Notamacropus eugenii: one gene and its partner. The protein of the gene in region 2 interacts with the protein of the main gene of each other region in a pairwise test. Links are inferred from orthologs where the notes say so. Each region holds a gene or a part of one and is shown on either strand. Other genes may lie near its edges. The genes, in order: QDPR and ANKRD13A.

Region 1 (7,372 bases), on a different chromosome or scaffold from region 2:
CTGCTCCCTATAACCTAACACAGTTGCCCCAAAATAGAGGCCTTTCAAGACAGTGGAAAGGACATCTGGCTGAGAATCAGAGACCCTGGTTCCAGACCCTATTTTGCCACTAACTTTTTCATATCAGGCAAATCACTTAATATTTCTGAACCTCAATTTCCTCAAATGTAAAGAGAAGGAGAGGAAAGAAAAAAAGGTAATACTGGATCACCTCTAAAATCTATTTCAGATTTTAAATTCTATAGATCTATTTTAAAAAATTTTAAGGAGCTACAATCAAATGGTGAGTTAAATCTTAAAAAGATAGAACCTAGGACAGAGGGACAACAAATCAGAAAATTTGAGCTAGAAATGAATCTAAAGGGTCTCCCATCGAACTCCCTCATTTCAGAGATGAAAAACTGAGACCCAGAAAAATGGAGACATTTATTTAAGGTGACATGCTGGAGCCAGAATCTAGGTGTGGGAAAGAGGAAGCCCCCCCACATGCTAATGTAAAAATCCCTTCCAAGGAAGGGATTCTCCCTATAACCTTGTACCTGATTAGGCCTCTAGAATCAAGGTCATTCACCTATATCTAAGGACTAGCGTGACTCCTAATACAAACGGTGCTGGACCTGGTGTCAGGAGACCTGGGCTCAAATCCTAGTCCCAACACTTATTAGCTGTGGAACCATGCACAAGAAGGGGCTCTGAGCTCCAGTTTCCTCAGCTGTAAAATGGGGGGAAATGATACTTACACTTCCAACCTCGTAGGGATATTCTGTGGAAATGCTTTACCAATCTTAAAGCTCTACAAAAATATGTGGTTAGCATTACCATTTTCCAGACAATGCCCAGGCCTGGAGTCAGGGCTGTTTGCCCTTTCCCCAACCCCAGAACCCACCTGAAAGCTTCCTGCTCCTTTACATTCTCCCCTCTTGACAGGTCAACAGACCCCTTTCCCCTTCATCTGCACTCCTGCCATAGGGACCTCAAACTCCCTCTTCTTCTCTGACTCTCAGGCCTGCTCTTCTTCTGGATCCCTGTCCTGCCCCTTTACATTCAAGACCTTTACATGCACCTGGCATTATTTCCCCCAATTAGAGTGCCGGTCTCCTCAAGCCCTTAGCACAGTAACAGGCACATGGAGTAAAAGCCTGACTTTCCCTCCATTCATTCTTCATCTACCCCATATTCACCGATCCCTTGTTGTCCAAGCTAAGTTGCCTTTAAGCATGCCTGAGACGCTCAGTTCTTAAACAGATCTTGCATCTCACTCAAATGGGAATTCCTCACATGCCTGACTATCCTGTTTGATGCTACAGATGAAAAATAGACAAGCTACGAATGCTCTCAATGGGAACAAAGATCCCTCTTTCAACGTGTAAACACCGGTTCTTCTGGCAATTTTTCCTTAATGTGTTCGCTTACTGTCAAAATCCTCAGAAAAAAATTAGGCCACTGGAGGCCCCATATGGACAAGTACAGGCAGTCACACAAGGACCCTGGCCCCAGCCTGACCCATCTACCTTCTCCCTTCCCTCCCAGGAAGCCAGCACTATCCTTGCCAGCCTGTCAGGAAGGAAGGAAGGAAGGAAGGAAGGAAGGAAGGAAGGAAGGAAGGAAGGAGAGAGGAAGGAAGGAGAGAGGAAGGAAGGAGAGAGGAAGGAAGGAGAGAGGAAGGAAGGAAGGAAGGAAGGAAGGAAGGAAGGAAGGAAGGAAGGAGAGAGGAAGGAAGGAGAGAGGAAGGAAGGAGAGAGGAGGAAGGAAGGAAGGAAGGAAGGAAGGAAGGAAGGAAGGAAGGAAGGAAGGAAGGAAGGAGAGAGGAAGGAGAGAGGAAGGAAGGAGAGAGGAAGGAAGGAAGGAAGGAAGGAAGGAAGGAAGGAAGGAAGGAAGGAAGGAGAGAGGAAGGAAGGAGAGAGGAAGGAGGGAAGGAAGGAAGGAAGGAAGGAAGGAAGGAAGGAAGGAAGGAAGGAAGGAAGGAAGGAGGGAAAGAAGGAAAGAAGGAAAGAGGGAAGGAGGGAGGGAGGGATCAGACAGTCAGATCTGGACATACATTTAGTGATAACCAGGTCCCAGGACTAGGGAACAGGCGCTAACGAGGAGCGTCCCTAGACTAAACGAGCAAAAAGGGAAAAGGGGGGAGCCCCAAAAATCACCAAGTCCTGGGCTAAAGGGGAGGTTAAGGATCGTGCCGACTCCCTTTTCTGGGACAAGAGGGGTTTAGCGCCTTCCCCATCTGCAGCAAAGCCCTAGTGGGAACCCCGACTCCCCACATTCACCGTCTTCGGCCCCACCCTTAATCTACAAGCCCTGCCAACCACCTCCTCCTGCGGGGCTGCACGCCGGCTTCCCCACCCTCCCGTCCGTTCCTCTTCCCCCAGGGAAGGAGGTCGGTGGGCGGCACACCCGTGGCCCCGTCTCCCAGGGGTCTCCCCCGTGGCCCGGCTAGCCCTCCCTCCCTCCTACCCGGCCAGCCCCGGGGAGGGGCAGCCTCGCTCATTCCACCGCTCACAAGTAGTGACTCTCTTTAAGCTTCGGGGGCAAAATATGGGCCCGGGGGCACGTCTGAAGCCCACCCTTACAAGAGGGGAGGGGGTGCGCGGGCGCGTCCGAACGTGCGCCGGAGAGGAGGGGTGCGTGCGTTTCGGGGTATCCTAGAAGCAGACACGCGAGCGCAAGGCAGGGGACCCACGTGTGTTTTGGGGTGCCCTAGAAGCGGGAGCATGCGCACGAACAGAGCCCTGCACAAGCACGAGTGGGCACGGAAGTACGCAACAGGGGAGCCGTGCCCTCAGGCGAGGACCCCAGCCGTGCCCGCCGCGGAGCCCGACGGCCCCGTCCATGCCCTTCTCAGCGCCACGCGCACAGAAACCCCCCGCTTACCCAGTTCTTGGCCCGGAAAGCCTGCACACACTTGGTGCCCAGCGCGCCTCTGCCTCCGTACACCAGGACCATGCGCGCGTCGCCCGCAGCCGCCGCCATCGTGCCCGTCCGCCCGCCCCGCTGCTCCGGCCCCGCCCCGAGATCCGGCCCCGCCCCGAGATCCGGCCCCGCCCCCACACCGCACGGCACGTGCCGAGAGAGGGCGCGAGAGCGGAGGCCTGCTGGGCCCTGCAGGCGAGGGGCGCTGCTGCCCCCTAGGCGGGCTGACCGCGGGGGGCGGTGCGGCAAGGGGCTCCGCCTCCGCGGAGGAAGCCCTCCTCAGGGAGCCTGGCGCCCCGGGAGTTCACGGTCCGGAGGGGGGAGGGAGGCGCCTCGGAGCGAGCTGGAGCGCAGGGGATAAAGGCCAAGGTGGGAGGTGGGAGGGGGAGAAGAGCGGGTCTGAGGGACAGCCAATGAGAGCGCAGAGTCCGGAGAGGAGGGCGGAGCCCAGGTCACGTGACCGAAGGGGCCGGGAGTCAAGGGCCGGGAGATCCTCCGCGAACGCCAAGATGTTGCTTATTTTTATTAATTATTATTATTTATTATTAAGGACCATTCTCTTTAGGTGTTTCTCTTTCCCACTTAGCGGCCCAGAGAACTGTATACCGAACTCAGTTCTGCCAACCGTTCATTCAAAAGCCATACAGCCCCGCTTTTATTATGCGCCTGCTGAATGCCTGCCCCGTCCCAGCCTCTGAGGAAGCTGCAGGGTTTCCCGGGAGCCAATCAGGACCGGCCCTGGACCGTCACTTAGAGGGAAGGGGCGCGTCTACCTGTCAGTCAGGACACCACGGAGGAGGTGGAGAGGGACAGGGAGACGTCCCTGAGGCAGCGGAGGAAGGCCTACCGTAATTCTCGTAAAATGGGCACCAGCTGTTTACGGAGGTCCGCGTGAGATTGCGGGAGGAGACGGGAAAGGTAGCTAGCTCGAGGAACTGACTGCCCGGGAGGGTCTGGGGCAATAAGATACTAATATGTATAGTGTATGTATTACGTATAATTTATACTCTACGTGTTTATATATTACATATAACATTAAAACATATATGAATATAAATGCATATAAATAAAATGTAACGTTACGTCGCAAGCGCCCCCCAATCACAAGACAGAGCCCTTCCTGGCTGGCCTCGGAGGCTACGCGCCCGTCGCTCTCAGGGGGTGACCCCGACTTGCAGGCGAGGGAGGGTCCGTGGGCTTTGTCCGGGGAGGAATCCCGCCTCAGGGTTTGTGCTGGGCAGAGGCTGAGGTGCGCTGAGGCCAGGCCTCGTGTCCTGGGATGGGGGCAGGCCGAGCTGGAGGTTCAGAGGAAGCCTCGGGGGCTCAGGCAGAAGCCCCCACGTCGGAGCCGCGGGGCGCCGCGAGCAGGCGCCGGGAGGGGCTGAGGTTACGTGGGGCCCTGGCAGGCGCTGAGCCCCCGGCTTCTCCTCTTTAGTGAACCTGCCCCGTGTGGAAGCCTTCTGAGCCGGACACAGGGAGAGCCGGACACAGAGAGCAGGACACGGAGAGCCGGACACGGGGAGAGCCGGACACAGGGAGAGCCGGACACAGGGAGAGCCGGACACGGGGAGAGCCGGACACACACAGGGAGAGCCGGACACACACAGGGAGAGCCGGACACACACAGGGAGAGCCGGACACAGGGAGAGCCGGACACACACAGGGAGAGCCGGACACGGGGAGAGCCGGACACGGGGAGAGCCGGACACACACAGGGAGAGCCGGACACAGGGAGAGCCGGACACACACAGGGAGAGCCGGACACGGAGAGCCGGACACAGGGAGAGCCGGACACAGGGAGAGCCGGACACAGGGAGAGCCGGACACACACAGGGAGAGCCGGACACACACAGGGAGAGCCGGACACAGGGAGAGCCGGACACGGAGACCCGACACAGGGAGAGCCGGACACACGCAGGGAGAGCCGGACACGGAGAGCCGGACACAGGGAGAGCCGGACACAGGGAGAGCCGGACACACACAGGGAGAGCCGGACACGGAGAGCCGGACACAGGGAGAGCCGGACACCGGGAGAGCCGGACACACACAGGGAGAGCCGGACACACACAGGGAGAGCCGGACACAGGGAGAGCCGGACACGGAGAGCCGGACACAAGGAGAGCCGGACACAGGGAGAGCCGGACACAGGGAGAGCCGGACACGGAGAGCCGGACACAGGGAGAGCCGGACACAGGGAGAGCCGGTGACGGCAGACGGGCGGTGTCAGAGGGGATGTCCCTGTCATCTCAGTGAGTTCAGCTATGGGTGCCCTCTTAGGGAGGCGCTGATGCACTGGAGGGCATCCGCAGAGGAACGGGGCAGTGAAGAACCCTGAGATCAAGCCCTGGGAGGACTGGTTGAAGGAAATGGAGAAGTGAGAGGGCATTAAATATTTGAATGGCTCTCATGTGGGGAAAGAATGCGACTTGTTCTTCTGGACTCCAGAAAAACAACTAATCCAGAATAGGCCAACCCAACCCATTAAGTGCCTTCTGTGTGCCACACACTGGGACAAAATGAAAATTGTATTTCTTGTCTTCAAGAGGGGGGATGAATATATATAATTATGTATTTGATCAGTTGAGGAAAAAGCCTTAACATCTAATGGAATCAGAAAAGGGGAAAGGCTTCCTATAGGAAGCATACAGGTTAAGACTTGAGTTTCAAAATATAGAAGTTATGACAGAGTGTATCCTCCTAGGCACAAAGAACAGCCTATGCAAAGTCATGGAGGTAGGAAATGGAATTCTGAGTTTGGAGAACAAGGAGGCTTTAGCTAGAATATAGAGGGAATGAATTAGTTCTGACTAAGCTTGGAAAGGTAATTTGTTCCTCCACGGAGGAGTTTGTATTTTAACCTAGACTAGAGCTAATAGGGAGGCCTGAAACTTCTTGATGAAGGGAGTGATGTGGTTAGACCTATGATTTAGTCAGATTAATTTGGCCCATATGTGGAGTATGGATTAGAGCTAAGAGACATTGGAAGGAGGGAAAGTAGTTAAGAGAGAATTATGTTGATGCAGGTAAGAGGTCACAAGTGTCTGAGGCAGCATGGTAGCCATTTGAATGGCAATGGATATGAGATGCTGTTCAGTCACGTCTGACTCTTCATAACCCCATTTGGGTTTTCTTGGCAAAGATAGTGGACTGGTTTGCCATTTCCTTCTCCAGCAGATTTTACAGATGAGGAAACCGAGGCAAACAAGGTTAACTGGCTTGCCCAGGGTCACACATTTAATAAGTATCTGAGATAGGGTTTGAACTCAGGTCTTCCTGACTCTAGGATTGGCACTCTATCCACTGTGCTACCTAGCTACCCCATAAGGAATGTGGTCAAGGTAGAATCAACAAGTTTTGGAATCTGTTGGCTGTGGATATGGTGGGAGGTAAAGGAGAATGTGGAGCTGAAGATACCTCTGAGATTGGAAACCTGGGTTTATGAGGGGAAAATAATGAGTTCTATTTTAGATCTGTTGGGTGTGACATGTCCATAGGTATCCTGGTACAGGTATCTTAACAGATATTTGCTAGTGCAGGGCTAGAGGTAGACACATAGATCTAGGAGTAGTCTGCAAAGAGACTTAACCCCATGTTGATATCGACAAGAAAGCAAGTATAGTGACAAAAAAGAAGGCCCAGGATAAATCCTTAGGGGATATCCACTGTTAGGACTAGAATGATAATCTTACAGCAGAGCCTGAGAAGAAATAATCAGGCCGAAGGAGAACCAAGATAAACCAATGTCCCAAAAACCCAGAGAGATTTACCTAAAGAGTATATTTAAGAGGAGGGGTTGGTCAGTAGTGAGTGTCAAAGGTTGTCAAAAGGTCAAGAAGAGTGAGGACTGAAAAGTCATAATTTATTCATTATGATATCTCATGAAAACCATCCTTGGAGAGAACAGTTTTGGTTGGTGAGGTCCAAAACCAACCTATTTCAGGCCATCTTCCCACAGTCAAGTGCTTTTTATATTTGTTCTAAGAATATGAACTTGAATCTTTCAGCTTTAGAAATACTGTGACTTGGCAGATTGTACCCACCAACACTCTTATAAATCTTTGAAAACATTAATACACTGTATTTATTAAGCAAACAGAAGGAAAACATACACTGATCATATTGGGGAATTTTTTTATTCAAATACAAATATACAGATCATTACTCAGCAGAAATAAGTTCAATCAGAGCTTTAACAGAATCTAACGATAACTTAAATACCAGTAATGCAGAAAAAATACATAAAAAGAAGGGAGGTGACTAGGGTAAGGCTCATGAACGGAAGAAGACATCCATGTACATGGATGTCTGTGGACAAAAGTTGAAGCTGCAGTTTGCAGGGTAAAGTACTTTGGGAAAGATAAGACACAGTAGTAAACCCTTTCCCAGTATCCTGTTAGACCATCTTTGCTAGGTTGCATTGAAGCATGTAGTTAGGCACAAATAAAATGAGAAAGTCTCTAACCCT
Region 2 (7,725 bases):
AATGGAGAGATGAATGGGCAGTCAGGACTAAGCTGGTCGGTCCAGGACTAGTGAATCATTTGACAGTAAACATGTCAAAGCATCTCCTCAACTGTTCTGCAGGGATTGCGCCGCCTAATTAAAAGGGATGAACCTTACAAAGAAATTCAACCCGTCTCGGCAGAAAAGATTCAGGAAACAAGTACCAAGCATTGTTACTGGGGGGAAAAGGCACCTGGTTTACAATGGATTTCTGGCTGTTTTGACAGTGGGCTGTCTTAGGAGAACTGCAGCGGGCAGATTCTTGGCAAGGGTGAAGGCTCATGCTTGGCAGCAACTTTTCACTCAACTGGGTGATGCTTAGCCTGCGGATTTTTTCAGCCAACCAAATGAAAATCATTTGTGCTTCCCTCAAAGCATTTTCCTGCCGACCTTAGGGCTGCTTCAGAGCCACATAATGCCCTGGCACACCTGCCTCTGACCCAAAGAGTGACTCACACTAATAGTAACAGGCCCCAGCTTTCAGAGGTAGGCAAAATGTCCTACCCCAGTCTGAACTGCTCACTCCCACAGTGTTCATGGTGCCAGGCTGGCACTCTACAATTGGGCAACACAACACAACAAAACAATAAACACATATTAATACTCACAGAGAGATAATATAAAAAAACACTGAGTTCAAACCCAAGCCCCAAGGATGTGGGCTGTGTGACCATGGGAAACTCAATTCACATCTCCGCTCAATTTTCACCCACGTAAAATGGGGATAATAACACAGCCCTACCCATCTAACATAGTATTCTTGTGAAGAAAGTACCATACAAATATAGATTATTATCATTTCCCTAAGTTAGTACACCAAGCTAGCCACTGGAGGAGACAATAAGTAAAGAGCCAGGTTCTGACCTCAAAGCAGTCAAGTAAGGGGATAAGCCAACTGAATAGGACACTCAAGGAAATGCATTAGATACAGAACGAAGTCCTGTGTAATGAGTCACACTGTGGAAAGCCTTTCAAAGGTCTCCTAGGCCAGAGTCCTCACTTGTAAGGTCTGGGGTTTGAATGAATGAACTCAAAAGCATTTCCAAATCAGTTGTCCCCAAGGTCCAGAGCCACAGCATCTCTGAGCTGGAATCTAGTTCAGCCTTCCCCACTGGCACCCTCCACCTGAAGACCTCTGGGGGCAAGGTGGCTGGCTCATCCCTCTTTTGGACGGCTCCAATGGTTAGGAAGGTTTTCACAGCAACAAGGAGCCTTCCAGCTGAAAACCTTCTGTGGGACCCCTCTGAGCATCAAGGACTCCCTGTCTGAGTCCCCCAAGCTCACAGCCCACGGATCACCCTGGAAGCCTCCTCTCTCACCCCCTAAAGCAGATCCGTGGCCAAGACCTGTCCATTTCTCCTTTGTAACATCTCCCTAATACAAACACCTACCTTTCTCTCCTGGGACCCAGCCCCCAACCCGATGAAAGCCCTTACCCCTACTACTTCTGGGGGAGGTTCGGTCTGCCTGCCTCAAGTCTCTCCCCATTCTAGTCCCTCCTCCACTGGGCCACCAAAGTGACTTTCCTAAAACACAGAATCAACCATCAACCCTACTCAATAAACTCCAGTGGTTCCCAATAGACTTTGAAATCAACAATCCAATTCCCTGAAGGTCCAAGTCCTTCCTAACCTTGACCCCCACCTTGACCCTCCCATCTCCGCCTGCCCCCCTGCTCATCTCTGACCCCTGGCCTCCTCCAAGTCCCAGCGAATTCCCACCTTCTTTCAGGAAGCCTTTCCTAATCTCTCTTAATGCCGGAGCCTTCCCTCTGCTAATTAGCCTGCCTGGCCTGCCTACAGCTTGTGGTCCCGAGGGCCTGGCACGCTGGCTCTCCCACTAGACTATGAGCTCATCGAGGGCAGGAATAGTCTTTGGCCTTTCTCTGGATCCCCGCCACCGCACGGTGCTGGCATCTGGGGGCGCCGGATAAAGGCTCCTGGACCGTACTTGGCCCAGATGGCCCTTAAGGGTCTCAATGCTGACACCTCCTCGGACACATACAGGGCTAGACCCGAGGTGCCTAAGGTCCTTCCAGCTCAGTGATAGGACCTCTCTGCCCTTCAGGCCGCCGCCCCCAGCCCTTGACCCCACACCCCTCTGGGACTCAGTTTCTCCTCCCAGCCCCGGTCAGGGGGGTTCAGCCTCCTCACCCGGCCTGCTCTGGAGTTCAGTTCCCCTCTTCCATCAAGAGAATCGGGGTCCCCTGCAGCTCCTGACCCCAGGCTTGCCCTGGGACTCAGAAGTCAGGGTTCCCGGCGGTTCCCAACTCTTGGACTCACTTTCCTCCCGCATCTCCGGGGCCAAGAACCCCCGCAGCCCCGATCCCGGGCCCGCAGAATCCCGGGCCCGCAGGATCCCCTCTGAGTTCACGGACTCAAGGCTCCCCGCGGCTCTGACCCCACAGGCACTCCGAGCCTCAGTTTCCCCCCGAGCTCGTTGGCTCACCTGGCCGTTCAGCTCCTTCTCCAGCTGCCGGTAGTCATTGTTCCAGACCAGGGCGTGCAGGGGGAAGTGGCTGCTGGGGCCGTCACCCCCGCAGGACATGCTGAGGCCCCCGCCGGCCCCGGGGGGCCCCGAGCGGCGCAGGGGACAGCGGGCCCGGCCCGGCCCTCGGCTCCCGACCCCCGGCTCCCGGCTCCCGGCCCCCGGCCCTCGGCTCCCCAGTCCGCTCTCCGCTGCCGCCAGCCGCCCCCGGCCTCGGCCGCTAGCAGCCCCTCTCGCCTCCGCCCCGACGCCGGCGCTCTCCGCCCGCGACTTCTCCGCCCGAACTGTCCCAAACAGGGAAGGGCTGGGCCAAACCACACCGGCCGGCCTGGGGGGGGGAAGACTCAACCTGCGGCTGCGCGGACTGAGGCCGACCCGGACACTCGGGCCCCCGACGCTGAGCTTGAGGCCCCCAAACCACACGGGCGTGGCCGGTCCCCGCCTCACGGCGCTGAGGCTGGCACCCCAAACTCGGCTTCTCACGAACCTCCAGACCCCACCCCCGGCCCCAAGCGCCCCTGTTAATCTCGTCCACAACTCGGGCTTTTCCATTGGCTCGGTATCACAGGAGGTGGGGAGGAGGAAATGGGTAAAACCATTCAGGCCACCTTTGGCCCCGCCCCAGCTCCTGACGCCCCGGCGGCCATATTGGGCAAGGGCGGATTCTTCTGTGATTGGTTAAGAGCCTCTTTGAATCCGAACTGGGGGAAGTTTTTAAATTACAAGAGGAAGTCACTTGTATCACTACATTAGAGATGGGGATGGTTGACTCCTCAGACTAGAAGCCAGTTAACAAGCATTTAATTAATCGATTGATAAACTTTTGTTAAGCCCTTGGGGGATACAATAAAATGCAAAACGCTGTTCTTGCCCTCAAGGAGTTTATAATCTAACGAGGGAGACAACCTGCAAATATAAACAAAGCAAGTTTAGTACAGGAAATTTAGTATAGGAAATCGTTTAAAAGAGGAAAGCACGAGAATTAAGAGGAATCGGGAAAAGCTTCCTGGAGAAGGTGGAATTTTAGTTGGGACTTAAAGGAACCCAGGAAAGACAGGAAGTGGAGAGGGGAGAGAGCATTCCAGGCATAGGGGGACAGCCAGAGAGAAAATGTCAGGAATCAGAAGTAGAGAAAATGTGTTCTTGGAACAGCCAAGAGGCCAGTGTCAGTGGATCCCTGTGGGGAAATAAAGTGTGAGAAGACTGGAAAGGGCAGATTGTGAGGGGCTTTGAATGTCAAACCGAGTATTTTGTATTAGATCCTCGAGGCAATAGGGAACCATTGAAGTTTACGGGGTGTCGGGGGAGAGTGGCATGATCAGACTTGTGTTCTAGGAAAATCGTTTTGATGACTGAACACAGGATGAATTGGAGTGGGAGAAACTTGAGTCAGAGACATCTGAATTGTAGGCTAAAGAGTCCACACTGCTCCCAAGGAAATTGACTTGTTATTGTTTAGTCCAGATGGGATGGAAATTGACTTCTTCTTGTTGCTGTTGTTATGGAGGGGTGGAAACTGACTTCTTGTTGTGGGGGGGAGGGGTGGAAATTGACTTTTTGTTGCTGTTTAGTCAAAGGGTGGAAATTGGCTTGTTGCTGTTTAGTTGGGGGAAGGATGGAAACTGATTTATTGTTTAGTCAAGAGGACAACAAAAATTGATTGTGTTGTTGGGGGTGGGGCTGCAGAAATTGACTTCTTGTTGTTTAGTGGGGTGGGGGTGGAAATTGACTTCTGTTGTTGTTTAGTCCTGAGGGGATAGAAATGGACATGTTGTTTAGTGGGGAAGAGGTAGAAATTGGCTTTTTGTTGTTGTTTAGTTGTGAGGGGGTGAAAATTGACTTTATTGTTGTTTAATGTGGGGGTGGAAATTGACATTTTGTTGTTGTTTGTCGGGTTGTTTTTGGGGGGGTCCTGTCGGTGACCCTATTTGGGGTTTTCTTGGCAGAGATACTGGAGTGGTTTATCATTTCCTTCTCCAGCTCATTTTACAGAAGAGGAAACTGAGGCAAATAGGGGTAAGTGATTTGATCAGTGTCACACCGCTACTAAAGTGTCTGAGGCCTCCTATCTCACCGTGCCAGCTGTCCCAGAAATTGGCTAACCCTTTACCATAAAACCTAGAATGTGGAAGATCCTGTATTTGAACACAGCTCTGGAACTCCAAAAATGCCAAGTTTTCATGAATGTTTCTCTCCCTTTGACTTTCCACTTTGGAGAGCACAGCATTGTTTTTCATCTGGCCTTCTTTGACATCAGACTAGCCTGTCTGTAGCCATTGTTTCCCAGCTGCCCACAATTAACCACACTATACTCTTGGCTACTGTTCTCAGATGTATTCATAAAGCATTCCTTCTGTGCTTCAGCTCTAGACACAACAGCTGGTTGGGAATCCTGCTGTAATCCATTCTCCACACAACAGATCCAGAAGCCATTACATTTCCGTGAGTGGCACCTCACTGCTTGGAAACCAATCATAATAACTGACATTTATACAACCCCTTAAAGCTTGCAAAGCATCCTATACATGTGAACTCTGAGTAGTGAAACAACCAAATGAAGTGAGCCGTTCAAATATTATCCCCATTTCACAGATGAGAGAACTGAGTCACCTGACACAAGCAGCCTACATCAAAGGCAAGATGTGAACTCCAAATCCAGCACTTTATCTTGTTATGGAGATAACCACTGGATAAGTTCCCTCCTGGCAACAAAAATGGGATGCAATATAATAATAGATTGCCTTGACTCAGAGTCTGGAGAGGACAATTGTGTTCCAAGGCACACAAAGAGTCCTATCTGAAAGATGTTAAACTTGATTTATCACAATGCTTACATACATAGAGGCCATAGGGAAGAAAATGTCCTAGTGTTAAACATGCATGCAACTGTAAAGGTTACGTTGCATCCAAGTCCTCATTCAATATGACCTGGTGGTAGGGATAGAGAAAATCCACACTATAGTGTCACAAAGTGGTCCGGGTTGCCCCTAGAGGTGGTGGATTCCCTTCTCTGGAGGTCTTCAAGCTGAGGCTTGACATCTGCTTACTGGGGGTGATGTAGAGTCAGCCTATCAGTCAGTCAGTCAGTCAATAAGCATTTATTAAGCATTTGATATGTGCTAGGCACCATGTCATGGGCTGGGGATATAAGATGAAAACTGGAATAGTCCTTGATTTCAAAGAATTTCCAGTCTGTAAATGAGTCACTTAATTAGTAGATATTTGTTAAGTGCCTACTATGTGCCAGGCACAATGCTAAGCCCTGAGGATACAAAAACAAACAAAAGATAAGCATCTGGCCTCAAAGAGTTCACAATCTAATGGAGGGACCAATGGGTGGTGAAGTGGATAAAGCACTGACCCTGAAGGCCTGAGTTCAAATGGGACCTCAGACACTTACTAGCTGTGTGACCCTGGGTAAATCACTTAATCCCAACTGCCAAGGAAAGAAGGAAGAAAAAGAAAAGAATTTAACAGTGGAGACAATTTAGGAAAAAATATATACAAAGCAAGTTATGTAGAGAATAAGTAGGAAATAATTTATCCTCTATATTTTTAGAGGCTAAATAGGAATAATTAACAGGGGGAAACACTAGAATTAATTCTTGAAGAGGACCATGACATCAGGGAGGTGATGCCATGACATGCAAATAAACTGGATTTAACTGAGGCAGGGCTGTCAAGGTCACCAGCCTCACTTTCTCCTCTGAAGCCATCTGGATCCAGTGGTGAGATCTAATCAGGATGACTGGAGATGGCCCTCGGGAGGGGTTAGGAAAGTCTTCCTGTAGAAGGTAGGATTTTAGTTGAGACTCAAAAGAAAGCCAGAGAGAACAGTAGTCAAAGCAGAGGAGGGAGAATGTTTCAGACATGGGGGACAACCAGAGAAAATTCCTGGAACAAGGAGATGTTTACTGGGGAGACCCAACTTGTTAATAATCAATTAAACAGTTAGCACTTATGTAATCAAACACTGTGCTGGGCACTGAAGACACAAAGAGAAAACAAAGCAGTGACTGCTGTCAGGGAGCAGGGATATGTGACATATACCCATATGGTATATAAGGATTAGTTGAACAAGCTGTGGATGTTTAGCTTGGAAAAGAAAAGAAATATTCAAGAGATTTCTGTTGAGTCATTTTCAAGTCATGTCTGACTCTCCATGACCCCATTTGGGGTTTTCTGGGCAAACATACTGGAGTGGTTTGCCATTTCCTTTTCTAGCTCATTTGACAGATGAGAAAACTGAGGCAAACAGGGTGAAGTAACTTGCCCAGGGTCACACAGCTCCTAAGTGTCTGAGGCCAAATTTGAACTTAGGTCCTCCTAACTCCAGGGCTGGCCACTCTATCCACGGCACCACCTATCTAGTGGGTGTCTTCAAATATTTGAAGGGCAATCACTTGACGAAGAATCAGTTTTGTGATTTCTTTGGCTCCTGTGAGGGCAGAACCAGAAGCCTTGGGTCCTCCATCAAATTTAGCCTTGATATCAGGAAAAACTTGCTAACGATTAGCGCTGTCCCCACGTGGGATGAGCTGCCTCAAAGGTGGCTTTCTCAGCCTTGAAGGTCTGCAAGTCCGGGCAGCCACTGGTCAGTGTTAGCAAAAGGAACCCCTGGTCAGATATGGGTTGAACTGGTTGGATCCCTGAGGTCCCTTCCAGCTCTGAAATATTGTGATTCAAGCTGCAAACTTGACTGCAATGAAAGGTTCTTGTCTACTCTCTGCCAACCATGTGTACAAACGATTTCAATGCTCCAGATCTTTGAGGACAAAGAAGCTGCTTTTGGCTGGCCAAGTATGACTCAATCAATGCTGCAAGACAAGCACTCTGGAGATGATGAAGCATTCCCTTCTTGGCCATAAAGCAGGAACAACAGATGAATGATGGCCATGATAATAGCCATCATTTATGTAACATCTACTATGTGCAAGGCATTGTGCTAAGCCAGAGCTTTTGATCCTCACAACAACCCTGGGAGATAGGTACTATTATTATCCACATTTTACAGGTGAGGAAACTGAGGCAGGCAGAGGATAAATGACTTGTGTCATTTAAGGACACAAAGGAGGTATCTGAGGCTAGTTTTGAGCTCAGGTCTTCCTGACTCCCAGCCCAGGGCTCTAACCATTGTACCTCCTATATCAGTGGACCTTTAAAAGAGGGAGAGACTATCTTCTTTTGTCCATTTCCTGTATGGCCCATTCCTGAAGG

What was found.
Region 1: the proteins of ANKRD13A (region 2) and QDPR interact in a two-hybrid assay, tested with the Homo sapiens proteins (2 studies listed by BioGRID). The two-hybrid records come from large-scale screens. The link is inferred for Notamacropus eugenii from reciprocal best matches to the Homo sapiens genes ANKRD13A and QDPR.

Annotation. Positions count from the first base shown.
Region 1 is NC_092877.1:70,224,210-70,231,581, forward strand, and holds the start of QDPR (dihydropteridine reductase), read right to left. Parts: upstream 3,176-7,372; 5' UTR 2,968-3,175; coding exon 2,869-2,967; intron 1-2,868. UniProt on the Homo sapiens protein: Catalyzes the conversion of quinonoid dihydrobiopterin into tetrahydrobiopterin.
Region 2 is NC_092875.1:21,996,768-22,004,492, forward strand, and holds the start of ANKRD13A (ankyrin repeat domain-containing protein 13A), read right to left. Parts: upstream 3,071-7,725; 5' UTR 3,061-3,070; coding exon 2,470-3,060; intron 1-2,469. UniProt on the Homo sapiens protein: Ubiquitin-binding protein that specifically recognizes and binds 'Lys-63'-linked ubiquitin. Does not bind 'Lys-48'-linked ubiquitin.